Linked DNA regions of Drosophila melanogaster. The protein of the gene in region 1 interacts with the protein of each later gene in a biochemical or structural test. Each region holds a gene or a part of one and is shown on either strand. Other genes may lie near its edges.

Region 1 (7,854 bases):
CGACTGGCCGGCCAGCAAGTTCTGGAAGGGATTATCACACACTCAGAAAGCTGTCCCAATGCCCTCGAAAATCATATTTAATTTTGCATTGACCTTGGGCTTACAATACAGACATAACTAAAATAAAATACTATTTACCCAAGGCTGAAAGTTAAAGGTGATTTTCTGGAGCGAAGGACAAATGTTGCCACGTTGAGCACCTCCCACGGAAAGACTTACCTTCTCACGATCGCTCAACCGCACACTGGCCCGCACCCTTCCCGCCACCAGAGCGATCTCCAGACGATCCGGCGAGTTGGACTCCGCGCTGGTCAACAGCAGGAGTCCTGCCGGACGCGAGGTCTTGAAGCGGATGACCAGCTCCTCGGTCTGCGTCTTGGTGCCTTGTCCATTGCCCAGCCAGATGGTCATGTGCTGGCTGCCGTTGAAGGCCAGCGTGGCGAGTTCCCGTCCACAGGTGGGTCCTCCGTACAGCGTGGCCGAGCAGTCGCAAATAGGTCGATTCCAGCCCTCCAGGCAGGTGCCTCCGTTCAGGCAGGGATTGCCGTTGCAAACGTTGGCCTGCACATGGCATGATGGCTTCACGGAGGCTGTGTGCCCAAGTGGGTTACAAGTATCGGGTTACGCGCTATCAGTGGATGACCATCGCTGGCGTGACTACTCACCCGAATCCTGGACACGTGCAAATGCCGCTATATCGATCGCCTTGCCACTCAGCACCAGGTCACGCAAACAGCCTACGAATCCCTGGCGCAGCGTGGCCGTCCAAATGGCCGCCGGCCAGGACACGCTATTGTAGGCGGGACCCACTCCGCCCAGGTACATGTGCCCGTCCAGCTCGAGGATGGTGCCGTCACCGGGCGTCCGGAAGTCGTTCCACACCCCATCCACGCTCACCTTGGCGTCGCGTCCATTCCGCCGAAGAATCAGGTCATGCCAGTCGCCATCGTCCACGCGACGTCGCGAGGCTCGCACCTTGGAGGCTCCGGATCCGAGGTCCAAATGGATGTAGATGTGCCCATTCAGCAGCTCAATGGCAATCAAAACGGGCTGATGGATTCAAATTATGCAAAATGGCTCAAGATAACCTAATGAGTAGACTCACGTTTTTGGCCCGTGGTTGCTTGGATCCTGTGGCCAGGACAATGATGCCATTCGGTTCTTTGGTGCGAAATTTGAAGCTTATAGAACTCTGCTTGCCAGTTTCCCAGGGAGGAAGGACCTTTAAAATAACAATCAAATATTAATTCATTACTTTTCGTATTTTCATACAGGTTTCAACTTACCAAATGCGATTCGCGAGTGGTGAAGGTCACGGGATCCTGTGGATCGCCACTGGGGCACTGATATTCCAGATTGCCAGCAACCTGGATCAGCTTGGAACCGCTCTTGGCCAGGTCTATGAGGTTCAGATTAAGCGTATCCGCTGAGAACTCCACCTTGCGCAGGCAGCCCACGAAGTTAGTGTGCACACGGGCACCCAAAAGCGCTCGAGGATTAACAGCACCACCAACGTAAACCCGCGAGGAGGAGAGCATGGTGAACTTGCCAGCAATGTGGGAGTGATCCGTATAGACATCATCCACCACGGTAACCAGCTACAGGGATAAAAAAAACTCCATTTCGAATAAAGAACCAAGAAAATCTATGAACAGTTACCCACCCGACAGAAGCTGGTTATGGAGGAGATCTCCTGAATGCGACGGTGCACGGTGACTTTGTGCCACTGGTGGTCGTCGAAGCGCACCTTTGAGGGCTTTATGTGCATCTCCTGCTTGCCATTAGCCAGACCCATGGTCAGGGAGACGCCTCCATCACGCAGCGCCAGATTTAGATAGTCCGTGCCGTGGCCAGTGTAGAAAAGCAGACCGTTCGGCTGGCGGGTGCGAAAATAGAAGGATATGGCATCCTGGGCGCTCACTATCGGCTCGGCGCCCGTCTGGCCCAAGTCGTAGGAGAGGAACTGTGTACCGCGGAACGTTGCTTCCGATGGCGCCTTCTCCTTCTCACAATACTGGCCATCGTACTCGAGGTTTCGACACTCGCAAATTGGACCGGAATCAGTGGATATGCAGATGCCGCCGTGCTGGCAAGGATCATTCCGTTCACAGGCATCGGTTGTGTTGCCACCCCGAACACCCTGCAGGATTAAAGGATTATTTACCAAATCAGGGATACATATAAATAGAGGCTTTTTTCTTATTATCAATATCATTTAAATAGAATATAAAAAGTTGTATTGTGTATATCAATGACTAATGGACTCACCCTGAGCGGCCTTTCACGGGCGGGCAGCTCTCCGTGATCGCAGGGCACATCGCCGCACTTGATGTCGCGCTGCTGCTTGATCTCCTGGCGCCTGGTGGAGCCGCCCGGCTGGTCCGCGTAGACCAGATTGCGGATGGCGCCACGGAAACGCGGTTCGAAGATAACGGATGGCAGGGCGAGCAGGGCCAGCTTGCTGCTGTACCAGTTGGGCATACCGCCCACATAGACGTCCGAGTTGCTCGCGAACTTGCCGAACTGGAACTCCTTCCCCTTGGTCGATCGCTGCTGGGAGACGCCGTCCACGATGAGCGATGTCTGCTCATCGTTCCGCAGGACCTGCACCTTGTGCCAGTGGCCGTCGTGCAGTTCCCGACCCACGGTGATGATTTGAGCTCCGCCACCAAGGTTATATCTCAGCCGCAGTGCTCCTTCCACCAGCTTCAGTTCGAAGAAGTCGTAGGTGCCGCCGTCGTCGGTGTAGAGAACCAATCCGTTGGGCTGTTCCGTTTTGAACTCCAGTTCGAGGGTCCCATTCAGTCCGGTGTACCACTTGCGGAAGGTGTAGAAGGAGTTTTGCGATCCATCTAGCTGGAATCCGGCGCTGAGCGTCACGAAACTGGCCGCCAGACTGACCAGCAGGGCGCTGACGATGAGCACGCGGTAGGAGCGACGGTATTCCACGACCACGGGAGGCACTTGCTCGCTTCTCCGCCGGCGGCGAGCCTTGTTGAACCGCAAGTCGGGGGATTCAAAGGCGGAGGTGGAGGTGCGCTGGGCGGGCAGGAGCCTCAGCTCCGCCTGATTTCGATTTCGCTGCTGATCCATGTCCATGCTTGGCCGTGTCCTGGCTGTCATGGCCGCATCAGCATAGTTATCCTGATATGTTGCACTATGTGGCGCCTTCATTCACACGCACGGTGGCACTCGGGCTTACCCACACAGAGGCACCTACGCACGTTGCGCGCGTAAACGTAAAGTGTCCTTCTCCCTCTCTCTCTCTCTCACTCGCTGTGTTTCTGTCGCGTATTCCAGTCCTTGAGCGCGAGCTTTTCGCGTGTCCTTGTGTTGGTGTTACTCGGCAATCCGTTTTATCCGCGCCTGCCAAGAGAGAGCGTAAGAGCGCGCGAGAGCGAAAGCTCGGCCACGCGAAGTTGGCTGCGGATGTTAACGGTACACGTCGACTGTTAACGGCACTGCACCGATTATTGCTTATGATTTCGCCTGATTTTTTTGGTCCTTAATGTTCAGCACCTTCAGTTTTCGGCATTTTGTATACTTGATTTGCATAATTTTTGGCAATTAAATTCAAAACGGCGCATATTTTGCATCGATACTTTGTCAGACAACCGTTTCTCCGACCGAGTCGGCTGTATTAGTAATACTGGGGGTTATGGTTGGGCCAAAAGCTCGCCGGATACCCCTGCCACCGCAGTTTGTGGCGCCCACGAGCGCTCCATCGTACATGTACATACTAAAAATCGGAAAAAATTTTCACTGCATATCGCAAATGTAGGCGAAAATTTTTCTAAGCACCTCACAGCAAGTGCCCCTAAAATGGGCGCTTTACTGCGGTTGATTCCACAGCAATCAGTTATTTATGCGTATTGATTGAACTATTGATTGGATACGAAATTAGTTGCAGAGACTGCACACAGATTTTTCAATTACACAATTATTCCTTTGAATTTGCACGATATTCTTGTCGCTCCTGCTTTATGTAACTTTTCGGGCTGGATTTTAGCGCGACGCGTCCTTTTCGTTTTTGTTGGTTGGTTGAATTTATTTTTGCAGATTTTTCGGTTCAATTTCGAGGGATACAAAAATGTTGTGTGTCGAAATTTGCTTAGCAGCGCCTTCCGCTGCTTTTAGCTCCGATATCGATCCGCGCTGCATCCACGACAAGACTGAACTGCAATTTCAAACTTAATTTCTTCGCACTGTTTCCAATGGATAACGAAAGCTCCGCCAGCTTATTCACAAAAAGCCACTGGTGCGGTCTAGGCGACTCGAAAATGGCACTACAATCGAACTGGACAAAGGAGTTTGTACCTCACACTACTGATTTTACATTTAGACAAGTTAAAATCGTTCAGAATTACTGGAAATCTTGAATTTAATGGTTTATATTGGTACTTTGTTGATTTACCCGAAAAAGTGTGCTACGGAAAAGGAAAGCACCGCACGCTTTGAGTGTAGTGTGTGGGAATGCCAAAAATTAAAAGCTCGCTTACTTCGCACGAGGCATGCATATGTGTACTACTAACACACAAACGCACACATAGACACCAGCTGCCCACTCACACATGCGTAATAAGCGAATAGCACGCAGGTTCATAACCTGCACCACTAAAGCGTATTAGATGCCACATTCACATGGATACACACATATGCATGTTCAGCTGTGTGCGTGGGTGTCCTGTGGCCGCACGCACACTCACACACACCAACTCAAGCTGACACCCCCCCGGGCTCACTATCTCCGAGACGACCCGTGTAAATTCCTTGACATTTACTACGCAACTTCGACATCTCGGAGTCGAATTCGATTTGCATTTGCATTGGCAGTGGAATGTGATGTCCCTTACTCTCGATTGTGGGTGTATGTCCTGCCTCTGTCAAATCCCATCACCCTGCTCCTTCGTCCTAGGAGAGCAATTGCAAGGCCGTCGCCTCCATTAATCGTCGTCGCAGTCCAGGCGAACACATTAATTTGAGCACACGAATCACGCACTGACCATTACAGCAGGGACCAGGATCCTGCTATTAAGCACTTACGGTTTTTAATAATATTTTAACGCACGCTAAAGGCTAAACAAATGCCAGCACGTGCTGTCCATTGTCCTTCGGAGTCGTGACGTTCAAGTGGACTAACAAGGACTAAGATTGGGAATGCCAAAAGCTGGGGGAAGAGCGAAAAGCTTAAAATCAAACTGAGCGGCAGCTCTTGAACTTTCAAGGGCTTTTAAACTACCATTATTTTAAAATCTGTGGAGAGTTCGGCATTGTCAAGTAATATTCTTCAAAATGAATGGAAAAATCTTTTAAATTTCAGGAACATTCTTAAAAATGCAAGTGCATCACCCAATGCCTAAATATCAATATGAAAATATTTTTCAAATTATTAAAAAATTAACGATTCTTTTAAAATTAGTTTTTTGGTATATTTACTTTTGATTTAACGGTATATGGCATCATCGCACCTACAGCCACACTAATTCGATCGTTTACTTACAGCTGTTCTTATCAATCAGCTGTTATCAACGGATCTTTATCAAGTGCACTTTACAAGGCGTCGTGTGTAAAGATTAGAATTTGCCAAATATTCCTCTCTGGACATCTGAAGAGCCCTTGAGAAGCAGCTAAGTTTGTTGCCATACTCCAAAATCCCCGTTAGATCCCGCTTACGTAATGCTGGGCAATCTGTGCCGGCTTGTGGGTGCCCGTTCCCCGATCACCAGGCGCTTGCTGCACACGGAGCGGAAAGTTCGTGTGAATGGCTCAGATTTGAACATTGTGGAGAGCGGCAGTGGGGAGCGGAGTCTACTCCTGATGCCGGGAGCACTGGGTTCCTCGTGGACCGACTTTAGGCCCCAGATCGAGCAGCTGCCGAAACTGCTGCCGGGTCACACCATCATCGCCTGGGATCCGCCGGGTTATGGCAAATCAGTGCCGCCGCAGCGCAAGTTCGGCCTTGAATTCTTTCGGGAGGATGCCCAGGCAGCCGTGGATTTGATGCGTGCCCTGGACAGACCACGCTTCTCCATTTTGGGCTGGAGCGATGGGGGCATCACGGCGCTCATAGTCGCAGGTCGCCATGCGGAAGCTGTGGATCGCCTAGCAATCTGGGGAGCAGGTGCCTACTTGAACGCTGACGAAGTCAAGGCTCTTAAGAACATTCGGGATGTGGCCAAGTGGTCGCCGCGCATGCGTGAGCCCATGGAAAAGGTTTACGGCGTCGAAAGATTCCCCCAATTGTGGGCCGAATGGGTGGACGCCGCATGCGCCTTCTATGACCAACGGGATGGAGACTTCTGTCGCACCGAAGTTGAGAAAATAAAGATACCTACTTTTATACTCCACGGAAAGAAGGATCCCATGATAGCAGCGGAGCACATTCCTTGGCTGAGGGAGCGTTTGCCTCATGCGGAATATTATGAGTTCCCCGAGGGGAAGCATAATATCCATTTACGTTATGCGGAGGAGTTTAACAAACTGGTGGCCGATTTCTTTAACAAAAATAACTAGATTAACCAATATATTTAAGCTTTCATGGATCCAAACTCATTACTTGTTTAACAATGGTAACTTGAAGTTGGATGGATATTCGTTATATGTGAAAGCAGTTATCAGAAATGAGCATGCAGGTGTTCAAAGTTCGAATTTTAAAAGGAAACTGATAGTTTTGATGAATCAAATTCATATCTAAGTTAAAGAATATTGTTATCTATTCAATGAATCATTTCGAAATAAATTGAAAAATAACCATATCTCCTAACTTAGCGAAAGGGAAATAAATGATTAATTATAAACATTTCTTTCTCTCGCTTTTATAAACTTAACTTCAAAGAAAGATATCAAAGCCTCGGGCAAGTTTAAATTAATTCCGGAAATGTTATCAAAAGTAATTCTTATAAAAATATACTTCAGCTGCTTATGGAAATCGCATAGCAAAAGACCCGCCCACAAGCATGTATGAGATAACTTTTATGAGAACTAGTACATATTTAATATTTATTATTTCACAGAGAGCTGATCAGTTGGTGGCCAGATTACTGGACCGTCTCGATGAGGGTCTTCACGTAGTCATCGTATTGGGCCTGGAAGAAGTTGCCGGCCACGGGACCGCCGAAGCTGTACTTCTGGATGTAGTCGCGGGCCTTGACGTTGATGCGGCCAGTGCGGCTGGTCTTGGACACGAACTTCTCGGTGGTGATCTTGTCGTTCTGCTTGAACACCAGGAAGACGTAGCGGTGCAGGCCGGTTCCCTCGCGGGGTCCAGCACCGATGTACTCGGCGATGGTCTGGCCCTCGGACACCTTGTTGCCGGGAATGTTGATCACCAGCCAGTGGAGCAGCTCACGGAACTTGGGGTCCTCGCGGCTGGGTGCGTCGGGGTCCACCAACAGGATGGTGTACAGGGAGTTGGGCTCGGCATCGAAGACGACAGTGGGCTGGTCCTTCACCTGAGTGGGAGTCAGCTCCTTGCCCAGCTCAACCTGAACGCCGGAAGGATAGGTGATGGTGGCCTTGGAGGCGGGCTTGACGTCGATGATGTCGGGAATAATGCCGGCGGTGTCCATGTTAGCTGGTAGTTCTGTTGCTTCTGCTCGGTGTAGCGTTAGCGAGTTGACTCTGGCCCGGATCCCTGATGTCTGGCCTTTTATCGACGGAGTCCGCCGCCTAATCAGTTCCGTGCACTTTTCAGTTAATACCCCAACGCATAGATAGCGAGATAAGCAATTGGTTAAACTTTATTGACGGGGAATTGAAAACCCTGCATGATATATGCACAAATCTAGCCTACGATCGTTTTATTCCGAATTGGCACATAGTCATCATACTGGGCCTGGTAATAATTGGCGGCAA
Region 2 (6,458 bases), on another chromosome or scaffold:
GCTGGAAATGGGGATTGGCTGGATATGAGGACTGAAACCAGGCGGGGAGGTGTCCTAAATTAGCTGCCAATTAATTAGGACCAAACGCAGATCCATAATGTTATGAACAGTATTATATTTCGCTTGAAGTTTGCGTGTTTTTTGTTTTTGCAGTGGGTGGTGGGTGGGGCTGAGAATGAACCTTGAAGGTGGCGATGGATGGTGCAATTTACATTGTTAACTAAGCTGCGACGGAGAGACCAGTCATGCAACTTCGGAATCTCATGCTCGGCAGTTCTATCTCAGCTCTTTTCCTAACTCATTCGTTTCAATCTCGCTGCAGTTGCAATTGCAGCCACTGAAGGTTGCTAAATTGCATAATTCAGAAACTACCACGTAGGGTTAAAGCCTTCGACAACGCGACAGCTTATAAAAGTTACAGTAATGTTTTTGTAATTGGCTTAAAAACTTGTTAATTAAGAAATTAACAACGTTGCATTACATTATGTTAACATATAGTGTGGGAAATATAGTGAAACATTTCCACTCTTCTGCCTTATAATTCCCAACTAGCCATTTCGTTTGACTTATTAAGGGAAGTAATCCTCTTTTGTTCAGAGGGTTAAACGCCTGGCAGACAGAAACTTGATGGGATGTCCATACCAAACGTATGTTAATAATGCCCAACGACAGAGCCCGCAGGCTCATTAGGTACATATACATATACATATCGATCGGGGATAAGGAGGCGGCATCCGGAGGAGGAGTGCCTCAAGTGGGGCAGTATAACCCACCCATTTTCGGTGTTGTACGTTATGTGATTCGAAAGCTTCGCCTGCCGCATGTTTTCCCCTCTCTGGTTTTGTGTTTCGGTTTTGTTTCGCCGTGGGTTACACAAACATTTCAAGTTGTTCCACAGGGTTTTTTTCAGTTTGCTGTCCGGACAAGTGGACAAAGTGGTGCGCAAGTGGTTGCATGGCCGTTAGAGAGGTGTGGGTTGAACTCTGGGCGGGAATGGGGTCCGCTCCGGCCCCATGGACCACTGCAGCTGTGGCCAACTATCAATTACCTAAATGCAACTGGCGTAATCATTGGAATCTCATGCGGAGCGGCATACGATAATTATATGAAAGTATTCTGGATATAAAGAAGTTTAAAACAGCACCAAGTCTTATTTAATCCTACTATAGTCTAATGTCAGTACTCGTATCAAGTTCAAGTTTTTCTAACATGTATTACCACTATTTCTCTGCCAAATTCGACCGACTAATTGAACTGCAACCTGGGTTCAGTGAACCCTGTAACAATCAAATAAAAATCAAGCCACAAATGGCCACATTAGGCTTAGCTAATATCGCTTTTCCTCAGACAATAAAAGCCGAATGGCCCCAAGCCATGAACGAATCATGATCATTGATCAACCGAAAATCCAAGACCCAAACGCGCACACAATTTAGATGCCTTATATGGCGGATCGCCAAACGGCAGCCTCATAAAAAAAGGTAGGAAAAAAAAGTGGATGAATAAATAAAGGCGACATTTTGCGGCGACTGTTAATATCAGTAGAGATACATAGATATATACACCTATAGCTACTATTGTGGCTATGGGTTTTCATTGAAAAGTCGACTAAAAATGCCAGAGATCCAAGATCATATGGCGCAAAAAATGGACCCAAAAGAGTCGTGTGCTAAGCTTGCGCCAAATCAAGTGACGCAAGAGATAAAGTCAGGGGTATCTATATTTTTTTAGGGGGCTACGGGGGAATTCCTAAACTTGATTTCGCCAGCTGCGCGTGGGCCACCGAAAAAAGATACAAAAACAAACGGAAAAACATAACACTCAAGAGTTCGGAGATATCTGTGATCTCGATTTCGTTCGAAATAGTTGACTTTTTGCCGGTCTCAGCATTGCAAAAGATTTCCATAAATGCGAAAAGTAAAAAAAAACAATATACATATCAGTGATTAACATAAAACTCAGATTTACACGAAAACAGAGTCTGTCTACTTCTTTAATTAAGAATAATCTCTTGAATAACTATTCTCTTGTCTGTTTGCGTTTGATTTATTTAATTCACACAGATCTGCGATCTGGATTTCTGTGGAAATAGTTGCGACAAGATTCAGAAGTAAAATAAATAGCATAAATGTGAAGCAATAAATCAAAGTCTTTCAACTTTGGTAATTTTTTTGAAAAGTTAAATTCTTTAATCTGATCAGCAGATGTCAAGATTTTCCATAAACAAAACTGAATAATATGAAACAATTATTCATGTTCAAGCTTTGGCACATAATCAAGATTATTGCTATTTAATGTTTGATCTGTCATCTGGCTTCCTATATGGTTTTTTTTTTTAATGAAGAACAACTTTTTTGAAATACTCGGTGCAGTTTTGAGAACATTTAAGCCGTTGCAAAAGTTTTCCATAAATGCCAAAATGGTGAAACTATAAATTCAAGGCGTTGAATTAACTTTTGGCTACTCAAAGGCATTAGCATAATGCCCAGATTTGCATGAAAATTAACGCATTTGAATGTTCAATCTGTCAAATGCTATGCGATTTTGGCTGTTTCGTTAATTAAGAATAATTTGTTGAATAACTTTTTGTGCCTGCATTTGACTAATTAAGTTTATGCAAATTGCTCGAGCGTGGGCGAAAGTTTAATGACGCCGGAAAATAGCTGAATACTTTATGAGTTTTTAAGTCGCCGACAAATTGACGATGGATATTGTGTGGAAATAAAAATTGAAACATTAAAGTGAAGCAACTATAAATAAATATACACAGAAGTCATAAAACAAAGGCGGGCCCTTCATCTTGTTGTGTTCTACCCCAAACTCCCCTTATTGTATCTTTTGGAGCTCCCTCTTCCAGTGCACTGGAAAAAGCGTTAGATATGGTTTATCTATAAAGATATTGTATGAAAATTTTATTCTCTACCACACACTATACGTTAATTTTAATACAAGACCTTTAAATTGAGATAAGCATCAGATACCACATTTTTTCTCAGTGTATTGGGGACTGACATGAAGCGCAACTGTTTCTGCGAGACAAAGGAGCAGAGAGAGAAGAAGACGACGAAGGAAGTGGAAGCGGGAGTGGAGAATAAGGAGCACAACAGAGGGAAGTCGTTGAAATTAAATACGGTTTGTAACCAGAAATTCCGCAACTAAAAATAAACAAATGAGAAAAAGAAGCGCAGAGCACGCGACGCACAAAAGAGGGTGAAATTGTACCCGCGAAGAGCTGAGTTTAACAACAATATAATGTTCTTGGCCTCGCCAGCGATTTTTTATTGAGGAAATAGTGCAAATAGAATTGTGATTTCTGCATATTTGCATAAATTGCGGCCACTCGCAGAATTGCAAAACAAAGAACGGCGATAAATAAGGCCAAAACAACGATAGCGAAATTATCAGAAGAAACCCACACATGCAAACAGAACCTAAGACAACAAGAGAAAAACAAAAGTCACTTGCTTTCGTTTTGTTTTGTTTTGTTATGTTATGGTTTTTTATCACCCAGTCTCCATCTCGCTCTCGCTCCCCCTCTCTCCCGCTTCTCTTACTCATTCCCACCCGATCGGAGTTGCATTTTGCGATCAACGGTTCTTTGGTTGGGGCATACTTCCTGCTCGCTCGCACCTACGCGAAAAGGCTCTGCGAAACCAGTTATTAAAAGCCATAAAAAGGAGAACCGTTTAACTGTTTAAGTGTCCCATGTTGGTTTTTTCGCCAGGTGTCTGAAACTTCGCCAGCTGTTGGCCGAAACTATTTTCGTATTTTCGTGTTTCGCTCGCAATTCTGCAATTTGCAATTGTTTTTTCGGGGGTTTTTTGCTGTCCTGCTTCTGCGCAGAGGGTGCAAGCAGGACGACAGGACTCGAACTCACACACACCCCTAAAAATGCCGCTACTCCAAATGCAATTTCATTGTTTTACCGTTGTATTTGCACTAAAATCGGAACCTGAATTTAATGGCGATTTCGTTTCAAAATATTTGCGTACACCCGGAATTGTGTGGCACCCACACCCCCAATTTACACTTCGTATTTCGTTCAACTCCGGCGCAGCTTCGTTTTGCTCTCTATATACAGCTTCATTGCGTTTTTTTTTATTAAATTTCTTTGCGCAAAAGGAGTGGCGTTGTCCAGGATTTTTTCACACATACACATGGACCTTATACACATATAGTCGGCGTCTTTTTATTTTCATTCGCACTGTTTTGTACTTTTTTCCGGCACATTAGCTTTTCGCCAAACTCCATTTAACACTCCTTTGCTGGGATTTACCTTTAAAAAGCTTTTTGTTTAGCCCTTTCGGTATACACAAATCCTTTTTTTTAAATACTCGCGACCCGGAATACTCGAATATATCCTATTTCGAAGGACGTTAATTGTACGATGAAAAAAATCACTCGATCATCATATGAACTCAGTACCCGCGGCAATTTATACTTATTGTTGATATTTTTGCAGCGGTTAAACTCGCGACGAAAACGCGTCCGTTTAGCTTGAATTTCGGGCCGATTTTGGTTTTGCTTTGTTTTTTTAGAGCTGGTACGATAGGAGACGACTATTCGATACTATCGGTGAATTGTTTTGGCGCTATGGGTTTTTAATTCTCGATTCAAGTGCGGTCTCACTGATAACTTGCTAATAATATTCGATTTATTCACTTATATTCGAGCAATCAGCGCTACATTTCAAAAAGTTTGTGTTCTAAACTGGCATTGCTTTGGCCATTTTACGAAATTCAAATTTATTTTTCCTTAGGAAACGCACAACGCTTGAAAATGCAGCTCAATATTTAATATTTAAAGAGCTTAAGTTTTTAAGAAAATTATAGTAAATCTGTATTATTCACTTTAGGTCATTTGTAAGGTAATGTAAAAACTAGCAAAGACTCAAACCAGTAGAAAGCTCTCTACATTCATGTTAAATATTGAAATATTCGTTTGGTGACCGAATTTTAAAATACCTTTTGTATTAAAATAACTTCTTAATAATAAATACCAACCGGCAAATAAAATGCGGATCTTTTGTTGTATTTTTTTTTTTTAATTTTGAGATTATATATATATAATAATTAGATTTACATTCATTTCTGTACCATTTTACTTGTTTTATTTTAGAAATAAAGTAAGCATTTATTACTAATTCTTTTATTTTTTTTTTTTGTTGCTTTAGACGTGCATGTTGGTGCACTTATCTTTCCATTTTGCTTGGATGAACATTACTAAATACGGGGGCGTACAATCAGTTTATAACACAAAAACAAACAATATTTTAAATATACTTCTTCATGAGACTTTTTCGTGTGGAAGAGAAGGGAGTGGGGCGAAATCACGCAAACAACATAAAATAAGGCAGAATTAGTGTTTCATTGGGGACATTGGAGTGTGTGCCAGTTGGGGACAAGATTCTTCTATATGCACTCGATATAGAGATATTGCAACGTGACCACTTTTGATATTGAAGCTAGTGAAAACACAAAGAAATGCACACAGTACAAAAAGCGGAGATGGTTATCAATTTTAACATGCTACGATTTATAGAATTTTGGTTTAATTTCCCTCCTCGATTCGTTCATCCGTTATTTTTGCTTTTGTTTTCATCATTCTCTTGGCTCTGTATAAAAGTTCAGTAAAAAATGCAGCTTAACTAGGTTCTCGTTTTGTAATTCCCTCCAATTTCGTTATTAAGGTAGCTCTCCTCGCAAACGACGTGGTGCGTTTCTATACTTCCATTGGATTTCCTCAATTGTTGCAAGCTTGCTTGGGTTTTGTGTTGCTTTCGGCTTTATTTTACATTAATCAATTATTTACTTGTTTATCACTTAGTTTTTACAATGGCGTTTTATGTGGGTTTTGTTTGCTTTGCTTTGCTTCGCTTCGCTTCGATTTCCATTTGCATTTGCATTTGCATAAAATGTATAAATTTCCTCTGCTCTCTCTCCACTAACACGTATTTATCAGAAACGCACAAATAAATTCTATTTGATAATATCAAGAACAAAAACTAACTGCATATATTTTCTTCTATATTTTCTGCTGTGCGCAGAAAATTCGATATACTTGTATGTTTTGTGGGCTTATGCTGCGTTGCTAACTTTCAACTTAAGTTTAACTTGTAAGCGAAATCATACACAATCGTGAAACGACATTTGAAATGAATCTGAATCTGAATCGTGTGTGCTGGGTGTTTGTTCAGTTATGTAACGTTAATATACATACATCGAAAGGATGGAGGATACGAATTGCTTTAATTGCGGTTTTTTTTCTGACCAGATCTGACAAAAAACCTCGACGAGTGAGCTTGAAATGTTCGTTTCTAAATATTAAGTAGATTATTTTATACACATATATATATATATATATATATGTATATATATATATATAGACTCGCGTTGATCGAGTTTTCTTAGCACATTTACTAATTGAAACGTTGTCGTGGTGAATTTCATAAGCACAAG
Region 3 (6,304 bases), 9.3 Mb from region 1:
ACGCCTACCTCCTTGGCCAGTTCGTCGCAGTACTCGATGTCGAGCTCATGCAGCGTCTCGATGTGCTCGTTCACGAAGGCAATGGGCACAAGGATGAAGTTCTTCAGGCCTTGCTTAACATAGCCCTGTAAAGATGGGATTGGTTTTAGTGGATGGGAATGGAAATCCGGCATTAAAGTTACACCTTAATGGCATCATCAGTTGCGGGCGCCAGCCAGGGTAGCGGGCCCACCTTGGATTGCCATGCCAGGCTGTAGGGATTCGTCTGACCAAGTTCCTGCATCACCATGTGTACGCTAGCACCAATCTCCGAGGGATACGCGTCACCCCGGTTCACAGCCTTAAGGGGAAGGGAGTGGGCAGTGAAGAGGATGACCACATCATTTCGTTTCGTTTCCACAAATTTGGCCAGCTCGTCGCGAATTCGCTGGGCAAACGTTTTGATTAGAAGTGGATGAGTGCCCCACCTGTCGATAATGCTCCATTTGATATCCGAGGGCAGATTACTAAAGAGGTAGAGGGGATCAAATAAATAGCTGCAATTGTGCATTTCTAACTCACTTGCTCCGATAATGAGTAAATATGGAGTTAAAGCTGGATCCGGAGGTGGCGCAGCTGTACTGTGGATATTGTGAAAAGAGTACAACGCGCTCTGGTTTGTCCCTGTAAATATGTTAAAATATTAACATGTATTCTTTAAGTAGCGCAAATGACCATAATTTCCAGGTTTAGGTTTCAGTAATTTGTCCAAGAAGTCAACTGATAATAGCAGGACATTGAAACATGCATAAGAAGTCAGAAGTCTATACAAACTTATTTACTAGAACATATCTTATTGTGAGAGTCCGTAGCAATATATATAGGTCAATTTCACGACCTTCGGATTATTTACATCACTCTTGTTCTACTTCTCGACTACACTCACTTTTCGATCTCGGCCAGCGTGTTCTCAGTGAGGGGATTCACGTAGCGGAAACCGACGTAGTGCTTGTGAGGTGCTGTCTCCGGGGAGATTCTGTCCAACTGCTCGCACATGAGCTGGCCCTGCAGCTCGGTCCACTTAAGAATCGGTGAACCACCGCCGATCTCCTTGTACTTCTTCTGTACCTCGGGCGTCCTGCGCTGGGCGATCCACGGACCAAGACGGCTCTGCACCGGCAGCTGGATCATGTCCCGGTCGGTCATAATACGCAGGAGGTAGTCATGCACCTGGTCCGTGTGGGTCGGACCGCCCATGTTCAGCATTAGGATCGCGGTCTTCGGTTTTTGGCCGCTCAGGTTGCGCACTCCTCCTGCCAGACCACCTGTTGGGGAATATGTAGGAATGTCGTGGGAACTGTATCCACTCGTATACTCACTTGCCAGTCTGCAAAACTTTGTGTTATGCAAAAACATAGTTCCTTTTAAATTGACCCAAATTGATGGCACCGGTGTCGAATAGTGTTACCAGTTGCTAAAATAGTTTAAATACCAAAATGTATGATCTCACAGATTCTAGAGTTTTTCCAAACGTAACAGAGTTCTGTAAAAAGTAACCGTCACGCCATCTATGTGTGTAAAATAGCTGCCAACTATTACTCAACAGTAATCTAAATATTTAAAAATTTTTCCTTTTGTTACACATTTACCATTTAATTTCTCTTTATTGAAACCGAAACCAATATTTGGTATATACTGTTCTTCAAGCGACCAACAGAAATTTTTCGCGCATGCGTCCTTATTTCTTTCCCTTGTCATCAACGCTGCGTGCAACGGTAAAAGCTGACTGTGGTGCAGTCTCGCTCTTGCACGCTGCATTTCGCTCTCGTCGCTTGCTGCGAGTGTTTCGTTTCCTCCGATCAAATAATATTTTGTAGTTTTTCCACCGAATGCAGGCACAATTGCTTCGTAAAAACGCAATAAAAGGCGCGGCCCATGGTCCGAAAAGATAAGAAAGCTTGAAAAACAACCGAAAGTGTCGTTTAACATCGGAGAAAAGCAAAAGGACAAGCGGCGCAGCACAGTGAAAAAAACGTAGGAAGTTTTGGAGTGAGTGAGAGGGAAGGAGTTCCACCGCGGTGGTGGGTGTACGTGCGCGAGTATTGGTGATGTGTCCATGTCCGTGTTATCGCCACCAGCATTAAAGTGCTCCAATTCGTGGCGCACGCGCAGAATAACTAGCGCTCTCTTGCTCTCTTTCTCGACTTAGAAGAGGAACAGGATATTTTATTATACTGAAATTCCTACTCAGGAAATTCGCATAGTTGCGAAAGCTTCGCGCTGCCACACGGACGCATTCCGCTACGGGTTCCCCGCACCACCCACACACTCTCACACCCGCCTGCCGCGAGCCCACACACCGCGCCCGCAAGCACTCTCGCGCACAGATCAATGAAAAGGCCAAAAAATAAATTGCACCTTTTCCGGGAACCAAAAACATGTTGAAATTATCTCACAAGTTACGCAAAAAATGCCGCAGCAAAAAAGTTGCATGGGATGCCGTGAATGCGACGAAAGTGTGAAACGAAACGAAAGGCAACGAAAGACGGTGCAGAAAGGAGCAAAGAGAGGCTGCAAGGATGTACTGCTTCTCAAAATCCCAAGCCATTGACCACCGAATCAGCGATAAGTCTCTAACAACAAAAACCTGCACCTAGCCAATTGCATTTTGCATTCGCATTCTTACTGCCCCGGAAGTAAAAGCAGCTTCAGCGGAAATTAAAACCAATCAAAGCCGAAATAAAAGGTAACGCTAGCGAGCGAAAGAGATAGACATTTTTAGAGAAAAAGAGAGAGCAAGAGAGAGCTACCATAGAGAGCAAGTGCATCCTTTTCACAACGCGGCACACATTTACGACCGGTGACTGCAACTAGCCCACTCCCATACCTCCGCCCCTCTTCAACCCGACCCCAGTTGTCCCTTGCAATTTGTGATCTCACGTTTTCATAACTTGGGCAGTAGCCGTTGGCACGGATTAGACGCAAAACGTCAAGCATTAGGACGTCAGGAGAAACGCAGTTCCACAGTGCAGGTGAGTTTTCAACAAAGGGACCTATCCAGGAAACTCACTGGCGGCTATGCATTTAGTTAATTAAAAAACTATTTGAAGGGTGAAAAGTCCATCATAGGAAATGACCTTGTCGCTATCAAATTCGGCTGTGCTTGATAAGGCTCCCACAACTCGAATAAGCGATCATTTGTGGCAAGTGTGATTATGCGCAATTTTCTGTTAAAACAAATCCTGTTTCCAGAACTTCTAATGCTTTGTTGGTTAGCGTTATTTTGCCTTTTACTAAAAACCTTTTGAAAGAAAAGGAAACGTCTTCTGATAGGCTATCATCATTCATTGTAGTCATTGGAGGTGGAGGTTCCAATTTAATCGTAAGAAAACATGGCATATCGTCAAATCAATTCGAGCAAATGTAATATAAGCGGTGTCTATTCCAGCAGCAAATTATTTCAAGATCTCCTCTATTACACACAAGAGATGAAGATCTAGGATATATACGACTAGGTGAGAGGAACAGAAAGCAAAACATTTACCGCGACATTAACAATCAAAAATCTTGTTTGGACGCTTTTTATGCTCAAAGCCCCCATAACTTTTTACACCCCGAATCGCCCCTTCAGTCCGCCAAACTACCCCCAAGCTAAAAGCTTTGCTCCAATTTACCAGCAAACAGAGAACTTTGTGTGGAGCCCCATACCATACAAATAATTTAAAAAAGCTGAGCCGCACAACTATCTTAATTTTATGTTAGAACTAAAGCCCCTTGTATAAAAAAAATGATAGCAAGCCTCTTACGGTAGCCAAAAATGGATTTCCATAGAGACCATTAAAATCGCTTGGTACTTTTTGTTGTATTAATTTACGTTGTTATTTATTAACTTATTTTAAGGCAGTATTGTTCACATATAGAAAATCTTTAAACAGAAAGTTATTTTTAAAATTGCATATTATTTTGTTTGGTCCTTATGTGTGTGGTATAAGCCGAGCTGTAATACAACATGTGGATGGCGACTTCCATTCTGTGCAGCCATAATTCCATCTTTTTGATTCTGCCCTCACTAATTAGATAAATTCACAGTTTCCCCGCAACTTTGCTAGTTTTTATGGTTTCGAGCATATTTTTGGCATTTTAATGCGACTTCTATCCGTCGTCCAAATGGCGAGTTGGGAGCTCCAAATTCGGAGTTGCGAGTTTCTAGTTGCGGGTTGCTGGTGGCATGTTGCACAGTCGTCAGGTGAGTCAGCTGAGCACCGGCAGAAAGGACCACATGGCGCGAAGCGACTGCACTGAAAATTGGGGTTTTACCATGCAGATAATGGGATCCGATCTGAAAAGTAAATGATCGTAATATCGGTTGTCAAGAGCTGCGAGTCAGTTGTGGGGCCTTTTCGCGTTACAATTATAAGCTGAGCCGATAAATATAACTTCTAAAAGAAAGAGTATCCTTTTTTTGCCTCAGTGGGTGTGCAGTCGCATGAGCGTGCGGCAAAGCCCAGTGGGTGTGGGTGGGATGGTGGGTTTGCGGGTTAGGGTCCGACGGTCCCCAGTGGTGGGTCTGTGTTTCTTCTTTCGATGTATATTCCTTTGTCGGGTGCTACTAACCAGTCAAAGTGTGGAAAAGGGACTCATGGGGATGTGGCGTTGTGGATAAACTTCAACGCAGCAATAACCATACCAAACCAAATAATGCCATGATGGGGTTACAACTGAGCCCAAAGAGGGAAATCGATAAATCTGCCTGTCGTCATTGTAGCACTGCCTCAAGTAAAAATAATTTTAAAGTTTAAAATTCATATCGATATCTTATTAAATTCGGTTTTCACTATTTATGACAATTTCGTAATATTTGGATTCTGATGTACTTGCTTGCTGCGGAAAGTCTCCGTTTTTTGCTATTTGATAAATTATTTGCTATTTTTGCCGCTGGAATGGAGTGCGGGCAAGCTTTGTCACTCATTTATGGACACACATAGCGAGCTCAATTTGTGATGTCATTATAATACATTTTATGCGTGCCTAGACAACATTCCCGGCGACTGGCGACTGGTAAAGTTGTTCTCGATGTGGTAATGGGTGTAGCTGCTGCTGTTGGTGAACACCCAGGCAACATCTTTCCTCGTGACGGCTGTTCTCTGTCGCTACTGCGACTGTGACACAAAGTATCTTGTATATACATGTTCCAGCTCATGCAGCTCCCCGCTTCCTAGAAAGGAATTATGAATAGACATTTTTCCGTTCCATACCTAGTACACCCGGAAGTGATGCTGTTTAAGCTCTGTGAGCAAAATATCTGGTTCTATCCACTAACATATATGTTAATTCCAGTATTGCTCGTTCAATGTATTTCCTATATTTCCTCTTTTTCGAAATTTCGGAGTACAATTTTAAGACTTTTATCGTCCGTAAGGATAGTCATTGACATCACTGGAACTAGCGTTGAAAACTGGCAAGGAAATCAGTTGTCAGTGACGCAGCTGGACCCCCTGACATGTTCGTGAGGACATAGCTCCACATTCTTCTTTGTACATTTGAATGTCCTGTGCACGATTGTAACATTTTTCATTGCAATTACTACGGCGGGAGCAACGGAGGAGGCGTTCGAGGAAGGCAAGCTGCTTTCTGGAAAAAAATCTGGAGTTGTGGCAATGTGCCATCCAAGGCTTTACTGGTTTCCTTTAATGTCGATGACAGTGATCATCCTGATGATGATGATGAATAATCTGACTGAGGATGGCATAGGGGCCACTCAATGTTAAGCCCTTGTGTGTTGATTGTTATTGGCTCCTGTTTTAGTATGAATGATATATATAAGTGTTCCTACAATTTTTTGTGTCCCTATCTCTTTTCCATTCTACTAAAACAAAACAGACACCATTTTTAATAAAAAACATAAGTTTACTATTGAGGGCAAAGGACTGTTACTTTGTTCACTTTACAGGAAGATATTAGAAAGGAATTAACCATGCCTTTATTATTTTGGTATAAGCCATTCCAGTCCTCAACAGGATCCGAAGGAAAATGTTCCTCACAAGGGCCTAGCAAAAAGCAAGTTCAGCTTCCTAACGAAAACTGGGCCAACACAATTAGCCCAAAGGCCAGGCTGGTCCGCTTCATTACCATAAATATACAGCTATGGGAATGAGCGCGCATTTTGCCAAGGATGTACCAGAACCAGAAGTGGCCCACATTCGCTAAAAAGCCCTCAATGCAAGAAATGTGTCCTTGGTTAGATGTAATTAATGTTTAAAACTTTAATATTAGCATTAATATAGGCATTTTTTTCTTTTGATTAAAAAGTGGAATATAGTTACAT

The links. The genes of interacting proteins can lie anywhere in the genome.
Region 2: the proteins of Nrx-1 (region 1) and Spn are reported together in a solved structure, tested with the Drosophila melanogaster proteins (one study listed by BioGRID).
Region 3: the proteins of Nrx-1 (region 1) and RhoGAP100F form a complex in vitro, tested with the Drosophila melanogaster proteins (one study listed by BioGRID).

Annotation. Positions count from the first base shown.
Region 1 is NT_033777.3:22,465,805-22,473,658, reverse strand, and holds the start of Nrx-1 (neurexin 1), read right to left. Parts: upstream 4,182-7,854; 5' UTR 3,175-4,181; coding exon 2,269-3,174; intron 2,141-2,268; coding exon 1,664-2,140; intron 1,599-1,663; coding exon 1,287-1,598; intron 1,223-1,286; coding exon 1,106-1,222; intron 1,051-1,105; coding exon 666-1,050; intron 591-665; coding exon 220-590; intron 22-219; coding exon 1-21. Other genes in the region: CG5377 (uncharacterized protein), read left to right, coding at 5,677-6,513; Pebp1 (Phosphatidylethanolamine-binding protein 1), read right to left, coding at 7,038-7,568; CG7054 (uncharacterized protein), read right to left, coding at 7,784-7,854. UniProt on the Drosophila melanogaster protein: Neuronal cell adhesion protein involved in synapse formation, development of synaptic active zones, synaptic regulation and visual function. Plays a role in cell adhesion between the pre- and the postsynaptic cell.
Region 2 is NT_037436.4:2,549,782-2,556,239, forward strand, and holds the start of Spn (spinophilin), read right to left. Parts: upstream 4,512-6,458; 5' UTR 4,277-4,511; intron 1-4,276.
Region 3 is NT_033777.3:31,810,816-31,817,119, forward strand, and holds the start of RhoGAP100F (Rho GTPase activating protein at 100F), read left to right. Parts: upstream 1-1,793; 5' UTR 1,794-3,011; intron 3,012-6,304. Other genes in the region: FeCH (ferrochelatase), read right to left, coding at 1-125, 185-506, 562-663, 926-1,304, 1,359-1,395. UniProt on the Drosophila melanogaster protein: GTPase activator for the Rho-type GTPases by converting them to an inactive GDP-bound state. Promotes the anchoring of Liprin-alpha clusters at synapses. Recruits and keeps Nrx-1 levels high in active zones in the presynapse opposite the postsynaptic region.